Regions from separate parts of the Mus musculus genome. Here regions 2 and 3 are each reported to be linked to region 1. The links are microRNA targets in miRTarBase. Many come from high-throughput screens and were not tested one by one. Region 1 holds a microRNA gene; each other region holds the end of a gene's coding sequence.
What was found. Region 1 holds the annotated microRNA mmu-miR-1191a (CAGUCUUACUAUGUAGCCCUA, at 1,193-1,213, opposite strand). A microRNA usually pairs through its seed, bases 2 to 8, with sites in the 3' UTR of a target mRNA and lowers its output. Matches are read on the target gene's strand: a 7mer-m8 pairs with bases 2 to 8, a 7mer-A1 pairs with bases 2 to 7 and ends in A, and an 8mer does both.

Region 2: miRTarBase lists Armc1 as a target of mmu-miR-1191a. Seed matches in the 3' UTR shown: 7mer-m8 at 1,872-1,878.
Region 3: the mRNA of Iffo2 is a reported target of mmu-miR-1191a. The part of its 3' UTR that is shown has no 7-base or 8-base seed match.

Annotation. Positions count from the first base shown.
Region 1 is chr7:27,203,573-27,206,827 of GRCm38, reverse strand. It overlaps Mir1191 (microRNA 1191), which reads right to left and starts at 1,292; the gene lies at 1,173-1,292. It overlaps BC024978 (cDNA sequence BC024978), which reads right to left. Exons shown (of 7, transcript NM_001243888.1): 7 at 2,508-3,072. The coding sequence ends at 2,735.
Region 2 is chr3:19,131,493-19,134,747 of GRCm38, reverse strand. Armc1 (armadillo repeat containing 1) reads left to right here. Exons shown (of 7, transcript NM_028840.3): 7 at 525-3,255. The coding sequence ends at 716. Among named protein-coding and RNA genes, the nearest start is that of Armc1, 30 kb to the left of the region's middle.
Region 3 is chr4:139,615,768-139,619,022 of GRCm38, reverse strand. It overlaps Iffo2 (intermediate filament family orphan 2), which reads right to left. Exons shown (of 9, transcript NM_001205173.1): 9 at 1-2,695. The coding sequence ends at 2,590. Among named protein-coding and RNA genes, the nearest start is that of Aldh4a1, 5.5 kb to the left of the region's middle.

The DNA of each region.
Region 1 (3,255 bases):
GCTACATGTATTTAGGTGCCTAAGGTCAGAAGAGGGCATTGGACTGCCTGCTCTCAGAGCTGAAGTTACAGCTCTACCTGCCTGATTTGGGATCCAAACTCTGCAAGCAGGGAGTGCTCTTAATTGCTGAGCCATCTCCTCAACTGTGTAGCTTAGGTTGGTCTGGAACTAGAGGTCCTCTTGTGTAGCCTCCAGAGTGCTGGGATGGGTGTGTGCCTTGACACTGTCACCATATAGCTCCTCTAGAATGTGACCTTTGGCTGGGAGCACTGCAGCCCCCCAGGCTTGTTTGCCCCCTTCTGAGCAGGTGTCCCGGGTGCCTGTCACTTTCCATACAGTCCTGAAGAGCTGATACACTAGAAGAGGCACACACTGCACTGCCTATGTAAGAGTCTTACATAGTTCAAGTTGGCCCTGCACTTGTCATGGAGTTGATGATGAGCATGGACTGTTAGCTGGCTTCTGTGTTCCAAATGCTGGGGTTACAGGCCTGTACCACCATCGCAGCTTTGGACAGGATGTAGCATGTTCAAGGTTAACCTGGACTGCATAACGAACATGACAAAATCTGTCTTTAAAAAAAAAAAAAAAAAACCCAAACAAACATCGTATTCCTCTCCTCCTCACTGTGTGGAAGGGAGGCATCCCAGGAGCTCTTTGAAGAGGAAATGATATTGGAGCTAAGATGGAGAAGTTAGGGGGAGTAAGGTTTAAAACATCTTTTTATTACATTTGAATTTTGTGAATGTGAATGGAGGTGAGAGGGCAGCCTGTGGGGATCGGTTCTTGTTCTGTCGCTCGGGGCCCTGGGTCATCTGGCTTGACAAGCACCTTTACCCATTAAGCCATCTTGCCAGCTCAAGGAGAGTGATCATCATTTAGCTCAAGGCTGTCGTTGGCACCTCAGTCTCAGTATCTGAAAGGCCAGCACAGCGGTCAGGTAGACGGGGTAGTCTGAGTGTGCCAAGGAGAAGGAAGCTGGGCTAAGTCCTGCTCTGTGAACTGACAGTGTCTTTAACAATTCCCCCAAAGAAAGACCAGTGGATGTCACATTCAGGTGGGAGGGCCACGACTAGGGTCTGAGTTACTACCAAGAGCCTTCTAGGCTAGGCATGTAGGAACAGGCCTTTAATCCCAGGACACAGGAAGCAAAGGCCAACCTGGCCTACTGCATAGGGAGTTCTAGGCCATCTAGGGCTACATAGTAAGACTGCTGTTTTGCTTTTGAGGCAGGTTCTCACTATGTAGCCCTGGCTGGCTTAGATGTTGCTATGTAGACCAGGCTGGTTCCAAACTCACAGATCAGCTACCTCTATCTCAGTGGTTCTCAACCTTTGTAATGCTGCAACCCTTGAATAATAACCTCATGTTGTGGTGACCCCAAACCATAAAGTTATTTTCATCATTACTTTATAACTATAATCTTGCTACTATTATGAATCATAAAGTAAATATATATTTTTTCTGATGGTCTTAGGCAATCCCTGTGAAAGGGTCTTTTGACACCCAAAGGGGTCATGACTCTGTAGCAAAAATTTTGGTTTCTTTGAAAAACATAGAAATATTATGGGAGTATGTTTTCATTTTAATCCCAGGTGTGGAATATGGGCTGTCCACAGCAGCTGGGATTTGCTTCATGCTGTAGCAGGGGTATGATTTTGCCATCTGCAAATAGTTTCTGAGACTGTGACCTTGGGAATTCTGGGGGCTTTTCAGATGTTATATAAATAAATGTCCAGGGTCCTGGGTGTTGAGGGGTTGTTGGTTGTGGTTTGTTAAGTAGTTGTGAACAAAGAAGAAACAAGAATAAATTAGGTGCCTTTAATCCCAGCACTCGGGAGGCAGAGGCAGGCAGATTTCTGAGTTTGAGACCAACCTGGTCTACAGAGTGAGTTCCAGGGCAGCCAGGGCTACACAGCGAAACCCTGTCTCAAAAAAAAAAAAAAAAAAAAAAACCAAAAAAACAAAACAAAACAAAACAAAAGGAATAAATTTAGGGAGGCTGAAAAGATGGCTCAGCAGTTAAGAGCACTGGCTGCTCTTCCAGAGGACCTGAATTCAATTCCCAGCAACCACATAGTGGCTCATAACCATCTGTAATGGGATCCAATGCCATCTTCTGGTATCTCTGAAGACAGCTACAGTTTACTCACATACATGAAATGAATAAATAAATAAATCTTAAGGGAAAAGAAAAAAGAGGAAGAAGACATTAGATATCCTGACAGCAAAGATCAAATTTCCCCCCAAGGAACTTGACGCCCCAATCAGCAGCAAGTAGTTGAAGGATAATGCTGGCCCCTTTCCCCTCCATCCTTTTCTCTCCTGTCTACCATTAGGAGGTTGAAGGGGTGGAAGAAACACAGTAGTACAAGTACGGCTGCATGGCCCACAGGTTGAGAGCCGCTGCTGCACCTTCGAGTGCTGGGTTTAGAATATGTGCTACCACCTGCAAGGCAGAGACCATGCTTTAAAAAACAAACCCTCCACAAAACCAAGTCTCCCTTAGTCAAAGGAATGCTTGATTCTGAAGGTAACTAGTTTAGACTTTGGACAGTGGTCAAGCTTGTGACTCCATATATGGGGTGATCTAGTGAAAGATTTCCGGGCAGGCGGCCTTCAAGATACTCTCATCAAATGAAACTAACTGGACTGAAAATGTCACATTAGGGGAAGAAGCTGAAGCATTCTAATGTTGATAGAGTTAAGTTCAATGCAGGTGTCCCAGCCCCAGCTAATGGCTTCCCTCCTGTGGTCTGAGCAGCAGGGCCTGGCCACAGAGGCCAGCCTCTACCCCACCAGCAGGTACCACGTACACCTGTCCATCGGCAGCCCTTGCGGGTGAGAAGTCTGTCAGCTGCAGGTTGCTCTCCCGGACTTGGCTGTAGTCCCACAGCTGGTAATGCCAACTCTTGCCCTGCTTGGAGAGAAGGAAGAGGGCACCTGGGGAGCTTTCCTCTGGGAAGGATGGTGGTTGGTGGGGTGCACCAGGCACTGGGTGGAAGAGGCCTGGTAGCTCAGAGTCTTCAATGTAGCCAGGGCTTGGCACATTCTGCACACCTATCAGGACCCCTGGGGGACAGGAAGAGGATGTGAGTTGCCTAGGTTACAGCCAGGTGCTGCCTAGCTACCACAAGGTTAGTAGGGCTCTGTGGGTACACGGCAAGGCCTCTGGCTTCCATGCCTTGGGTATTTGAAGTCCTGCCTCTCATGGCATATTGAAGATGGAGATAGCATTCTAAGGAAAAAAAAACC
Region 2 (3,255 bases), not on the chromosome of region 1:
AATTCCTATGTCTATATTAATAAACAGTTAATTACTGTCTTAGTAGTATAGAGAATTTGTTCTGAAGTTCAGGGTGCTCTTGTAAGGCGAACTTGAGCGCAGTGGAGCTGTGATGTACATGTATGGGTAAAGGACACCATTTCCTTACGCTCTTTCAGTACTTTCTTTCTAACTTGAAATAGTTTTGCCAATCCAAGAAAATAAAAGTACACCTTTTGAACAAGTAAATATGGTGAGCACTAGCTTCTGTGATAAGGAGGAGTGCATCTGTCAGCTGTGAGCTCCCTGGCTTCCCACGGATGTGTTCAAAGTGGCCCTGCACCCGTTTAACCCATTTCTACACTGATAGGTTACTCCTGTCCTAGAACCCAGACAGACTGACTGCATGAAAGAAGAAAGCGTTAGATTGCGAGCCCTTGCGACTCTTGGGAATGAAGATGATGCATAGAATGAGGATGTGGCTTGGGGGATGTACGTGTCGTGTTAGGTTGGTTGTAATGGCTCTTCCGGCTTCTCCGTGTCAGATGCTGGTCCCTTTTCAGGATGCCCCTGTGGAAGTGGAAGAGAACACAGAGCTACCTGACTACCTGCCTGAGGATGAGAGTCCCACAAAGGAGCAGGACAAGGCAGTGTCCCGGGTTGGATCGCACCCTGAAGGTGGAGCCAGCTGGTTGAGCACAGCAGCAAACTTTTTATCCAGATCATTTTACTGGTGACTTCAACTTCAGTTTGGGGCTCAAGGACTGTGCAAACCAACAGGGGGCCAGCTTTCCATTGTTGTGGTGAACTGTCAAGTGCAATTTGCAATAAATTATCATGGAAAGTTTCTAGATTACATGACTATGTATGCTGCATTTTACATCTTATTGGACATTTTCCGCACAAGACAGAGGCTACAGGTCAAGTTTGTTTATGAAGGTATTTTGGTATTGTTTTCCTTTGCTTAATTGCCTCACATTTTGTTCTGAAAAACATGGGTCCACTGTTAAAACCGAATGTATGTGTAGCTTTATTCTGTTTCACAGGCGCATGTGATTGGAAAACTCATTTTCTCCTCCAGCCTCAGGAGACTTCTAAAAAGTTTTGCGTAGCTCAAGTTGTGCATGAATTACCGAATATATTATTTTTCAGCTTTTCTTCATGAACGATATTTGACATGTGCTTTGGTACCCTTCTCTGAAAGTTGAAAACCTACCTACTTAGTCCCTTCTGTGCCTTTTTTATTTTGCCAACCATGTTTTATGGAAAAGACATTAGCAATTACATTTTGCAAATGGAATTATGTTCATTTGAACATAGAAGTACCTAAAAAGAAAAAAAAAAAACCTCTACAAAAAGCTGTACAGTCATACTTGCTGTAATTTTAATAAGATTACTGTAGGCCAGTTAAAACACAGGGATATTTGCTGTAAAGTGCTTTTGGAAGGATTTGAATGTGGCCAAGCCTGGCTCTGTTGACTCCTGCTCACCAGTTAGAGTGGCTTTTAAGAATTAAGTCCACTGTGATGTTTGAGCAGCAGATGGTCTCTTGGCCTTACTCTGTGGTGACACTGTATCCTGCTAGAGAAAATTAATAGTTTAAACAACTGACAAACTTGAAAAGGAAATTGGATGCCTAGAATGCCGCAGTGCCACCTTGGTTGGTCTGATGTCAGACATCAACACATACCCATCCCAGAGATGCTGGGCTTATTGCCTTTTTGTGGTTATTAAGAAAGGGCTGCAGTCAGTTTGACTAAAACGGGATCCACGTTATTGCTTAGAAAGGAAGCAAGCCAGCAGTGATCACTTATTCTTATTCTTCATATCTATCCAGAAAACTGACTTCAGTGAAGGTAAGATATATACAGACATACACTTGTGTTTTTCTTTAAGACTGAAGTACACGTATGCGATGCTTTCTTAAGATTCTAACATATTTGACAACTAATATTTCTTTTTAGAAGTCAGCTAAATCTATTTAAAGGCAACATCATTAAAACTAACAGGAAGAAACTGAAATGCATCTTTACCAGGTAGAGCTGCTGTTTTGCTACTTGGAGAAAGTGAAGGGAAGTTGGACCCTGGAGGGTTTCCTTACATCTTTGCTGTCTCTCTCTTAGAGATCATTGAAGCCATCCAGTGTTGCTGAGGAGAAATAACCGTACAATCCTATGGCCCATGAGACCATTAAGTTTATTAACATTTGGCTTTCTGGAAGGAGGGTGTTGAAGGCTTTTAGAGCATTTTCCCCACGTCTGGTCTCTGATTCAAGTGCTATGTACAAGCAGAAAGCAGACATTTTCAGGGCACATCTCTAAGCTGTGTAACTGCTTGCTGCCAGAACCAGACGTGTTGAAGACAAAACAACAAATCACCTCCTTTCTAGATCCATTAAAGCAAAGTTTACTTTCTGTTTCAACAGGTTTTTATTTTATTTTGCATTGTCACACATTTATTTAAAAACTGTAGCCCTTTTGGTAGTGATGGTCCAGGTCGGTTGGTATTTCAGACTGAAGTTTGTGTGTGTCTAGGTGTTCAAGGACTCTCAGAGATCTCAAGGCAACTATAATGGCAGTTTTTGAAATATATTGTAAGATAATAAAAGATAACAATGAAAATCAAGCAGTTATTGTATTTTTAAATTTTTATTTATCAACTTCCCGCCCATCCATCCATCCATCCATCCATCCTCCATGTCTCTGTGTGTACATGCCTGGGGGAGTCAGGAGACTATTAGGTCACGGGAGCTGGAGTTACAGGCAGTTGTGAGCTGTCTGATATGGTTCTGGGAGTTGAGCTCAGTGCTCTGCAAGAATAATTCATGTTCTTAACCACTGAGCTATTTCTCTAGCCTTGGGATATTGTAGTATAAAGATTGATACGTACGTACGTGTGTGTGTGTGTGTGTGTGAGATGCTGGGTATCCATCCAGTGACTCAGGATTCTTTTTAAGCTTGTTTGAAATTATCTATTTATACATTTAGAGACAAGGTCTTACTATCTAGTCCAAGCTGGCCTGAACCTTTTATGTGGCCCACCTTAACCTTGAACTCTAGATTCTCTTGCTTACATCCTGAATGGCAGGTATCATCATGCCAAGCTCTTTGGCAGTTTGCACACATAATGTATGGCACATAGTCTTAGTTCTATAGTTGCAAGAGTCAGGGGAAGTACCTCACCTGTTACTGTGTAATTATGTGTAGACCCCTGAGCTGGACAAACCAGACCTGCACTCTTGTCATGTTTTTGGGTTTGGTTTTCCAGAGCCTCCTG
Region 3 (3,255 bases), not on the chromosome of region 1:
GACACGGGGCTCAGACATAGAAAAGTCAAGAGAACATATGTACATGTTTACACGGGTGGACAAGTTCGTCCAGACAGGGCAGGCGCTGCCCCAGTGAGAGGCGGCCCCAGTGAGGGGTGGGGTCTTTCTGGGCAAGCTGTGGGCTCACAGTGAGCACAAGCAGGACCCACTGGCAACGAACTACGAAACGAACAAACCAAACACTAAGAGGAGGCCAGGCCCAGAGCCCAGACCAAGCCAGGAAACATGCCTACCACACCCTTGCTCCTCTCCACTCATCCTCCTGCCTCAGAGCTCCACCTCCCAGGGGAAAGCAGACTTTGAAAGTCAGCAGGAGGGAACCCAAAGGAGTCTGCTTTTCTCATGCACACCAGACAAATGACCTATGTATACAGGTGGGAAAGTTAAATAACACCAGAGACCAGCAACTACACAGTAGCTGTGTACACAGCCATCCCCTCAAACGTTTACGCTGTTGCTTCCTGTCTTAACGCTAGAGATACATGTCAGCCCACCACCTCCATGAAGAACGATCAAGGGCTGGCTTCTGCTCTGCCCACCTGACTACCAGACTCTACCGCTTTACCGCTGGATGGAAACGGTCCCCAACCTCAGTCAAGGACCCATGAGGGCAACCCTCCTCCTGCCCTCACAGAAACGGAAATCTTTACAGCAGCTAAGGTCCAGGCCCATCTGGCTCTGATAACCTTTGGTTAAAAAAATAACATAGAATAAAATAAAACCAAAACAATAATATCAATAACACACAATAATAATAACCAGAAGTGTATGAACCCTGTAACCTTTAAAAGAAGGATTGGTGAGAAAGGGGAAGAGAATAGTGAGGACAGGGGCTGTGTCTTTTCCCAAACAATTGTCCCTCCAAGTACCTGCACAGGGACCAATGGGAAACCCCTCCCCACATCATGGAAGACACACGTAAGAAAGGCCACCAAGTTCTGATAAGTTACAAGCCACCAACAAACACATCCTCTCTCCTCTCTATCCATACATAAGCCTACTATGTACACTGGCTCTAAGTGCAAAACAGATAATGGAACCACCTAGAGAGAAACAGAGGGATAAAGAGGAGGCTCGGGTACCACTATGGTTCCAGAGTCCTCTGCCCTTTACCACCCAGGCCTCAGAGGGCCATGGGTTCTGATCCCTGGGGACATTTTGTTCCTTTGAACTCCAGAGGAACCCACTGGGTCAATAAAAACAACATAGGCCATCAAAACCACTAGAGTGGACCCCAAAATAAGGAAAGAAATAAAAACAAAACCTGATTGTTGCTAGGCAAGTCGCCAGCTGCTCTCTGATAGACGGATGCTCTATCTTATGGCCCCTTACCTCAGGCCCCAGGGGAGCCTTGGGGAATCACTGGCTCAGCGTCCAGACAGATGGGTATGGAAAGCATGTATGAATGAGGACGGTCCTCACTTGAGGCTTCTCTCCAGTCATTGCCAGCCTGCCAGCAGCCATGCCACTCCCCCCCCCCCAACAAGGCTTTTTCCCCCCAGCCAGAGGGACAACGGAGGACCAAGACGGTACTGTGGAGGACAGAGTAGGTAGCAGGCCTGGCCTGTTCATACTTTCTCACAGAGAAATTACAACCATGGAACCTGGCAGGTGATTGGAGAGGCGGGAATGAACATCAAGTCATCAGGAAAATAAAAGACCACCACCCACCCCACCCCACCCCACAGAGGTCCCCAAGAAAACCATCAGTCCAGTGGGCCGGCTTGCAGAATGCAGGCAGGCCTTACCAGCAATCTGACTGGGACCACCCCCAAAGCCACCTCTGAACCTCAGAGGCTATGAGGGACTCATGCCAACCTTGGCCTCTCTCCCAGTTCCCAGAAGTCTGAGAGAGGGCCTGCCTTCCCCAATGATATAAGGCAAGCTGCTTTTAGGTTTTTTTGTTTGTTTGTTTTTTGTTTTTGTTTTTTGCATAGTTTAAACACAGTGAGGTTCTTCCTTCCCCCACAGTGCCTTTCCCCGATACATCGCCACTAGATCCAAAAGAAGAAGAAAAAAATTGGTCTTCCCTCCCTCCACTTCCGTCCACCACTCTATCCCTGGGTGAGAAAGTATTGACGACTCCTCCTCGCCCAGCTCTGGAGGTAACACAGTCTACTTCCTTGAGAAAGCAGACCACCGCAAGTCATCTTGGGACAGAGGGAGGGAGCAAAGCTCATGTCCAATCAGAGGAGCAGGTGGGAGGGAGAAAACCAAAAGCTACCACGCCTCCAGGCCCCACCCTCACCTTAGAGTTTTATATTTAAAAAAACACCTGCTAGGAAGAATTCTTTGGAGCTCAAAGTGGCTCAGCTTAAGGGAGAAGGCACAGTTGCACTGCATCGACGCACAAAAGTCTGCGTTTGTGGTGTGTGTGGGGACAATAGAAAAATCGACAGCACCATTCCATGGGTCGGTGGTGGAGGAAGGAAGGAAGCAGCGGTCCCGCTGGGCCTCCGGAGAAGGGAGGACAGAAGTCTGTGTCGAGGAGTGGAGCCCACACGGCTCAGTGGGGAGAGGAGGCTGGACCCCATCACCAAGACCACCAGGAGCGTCGGGCCTCCGTCATCAGCTGACCATGGGCTCCACATCCGCCTCCCGCTCCAGGTCTTCCTGGATTTCGTCTGTACTTCCTGAGTCACTGCTGGCCACGGAGCTGGGGGACGGTGAATTCCTGCATTAGAAACCAAAGCCTTTCAGAGAGCAGCCTGGGGGACCCTAACGGCCCAGGGCCCGGAGCTCTGGCCGGTCACACCTGTTAAAAAACCTACCCGAAGGGTCTGGGGTGAGCAAAACTTTTGCCTAGTATGCACAAGGCTCTGGGTTCCACTCTCAGCAACAACACAGTGGCGGCTACCCTGAGGGGCTCCTGCTGTGAGATCCCTGCAAGGCGCACTTTCTCCCAGTCCCTGTAGGTTCCATAAGCTGCCTAGGGCTCTTGGCATTCCTTGGGACCTCTACCCTAGCCACTGCTTACTGTAGCGTGTGGCTTCTCTTTGGGAGTGGGGGGTGGGGTGGTCGTGGGTATTCATTCTGTAACTTTCCATCATCCCTGGTCTGAGCACAAAGTGGTGCCCTCTGAAAACCCCAGGTAACAAAGCGATGCCCACTGAAAACCCCAGGTAACTGGGAAGAAGGAACCTCAGATAAGAAAACGCCTCCACCCACCGAGCATGGTGGCGCACGCCTTTAATCCCAGCACTTGGGAGGCAGAGGCAGGCAGATTTCTGAGTC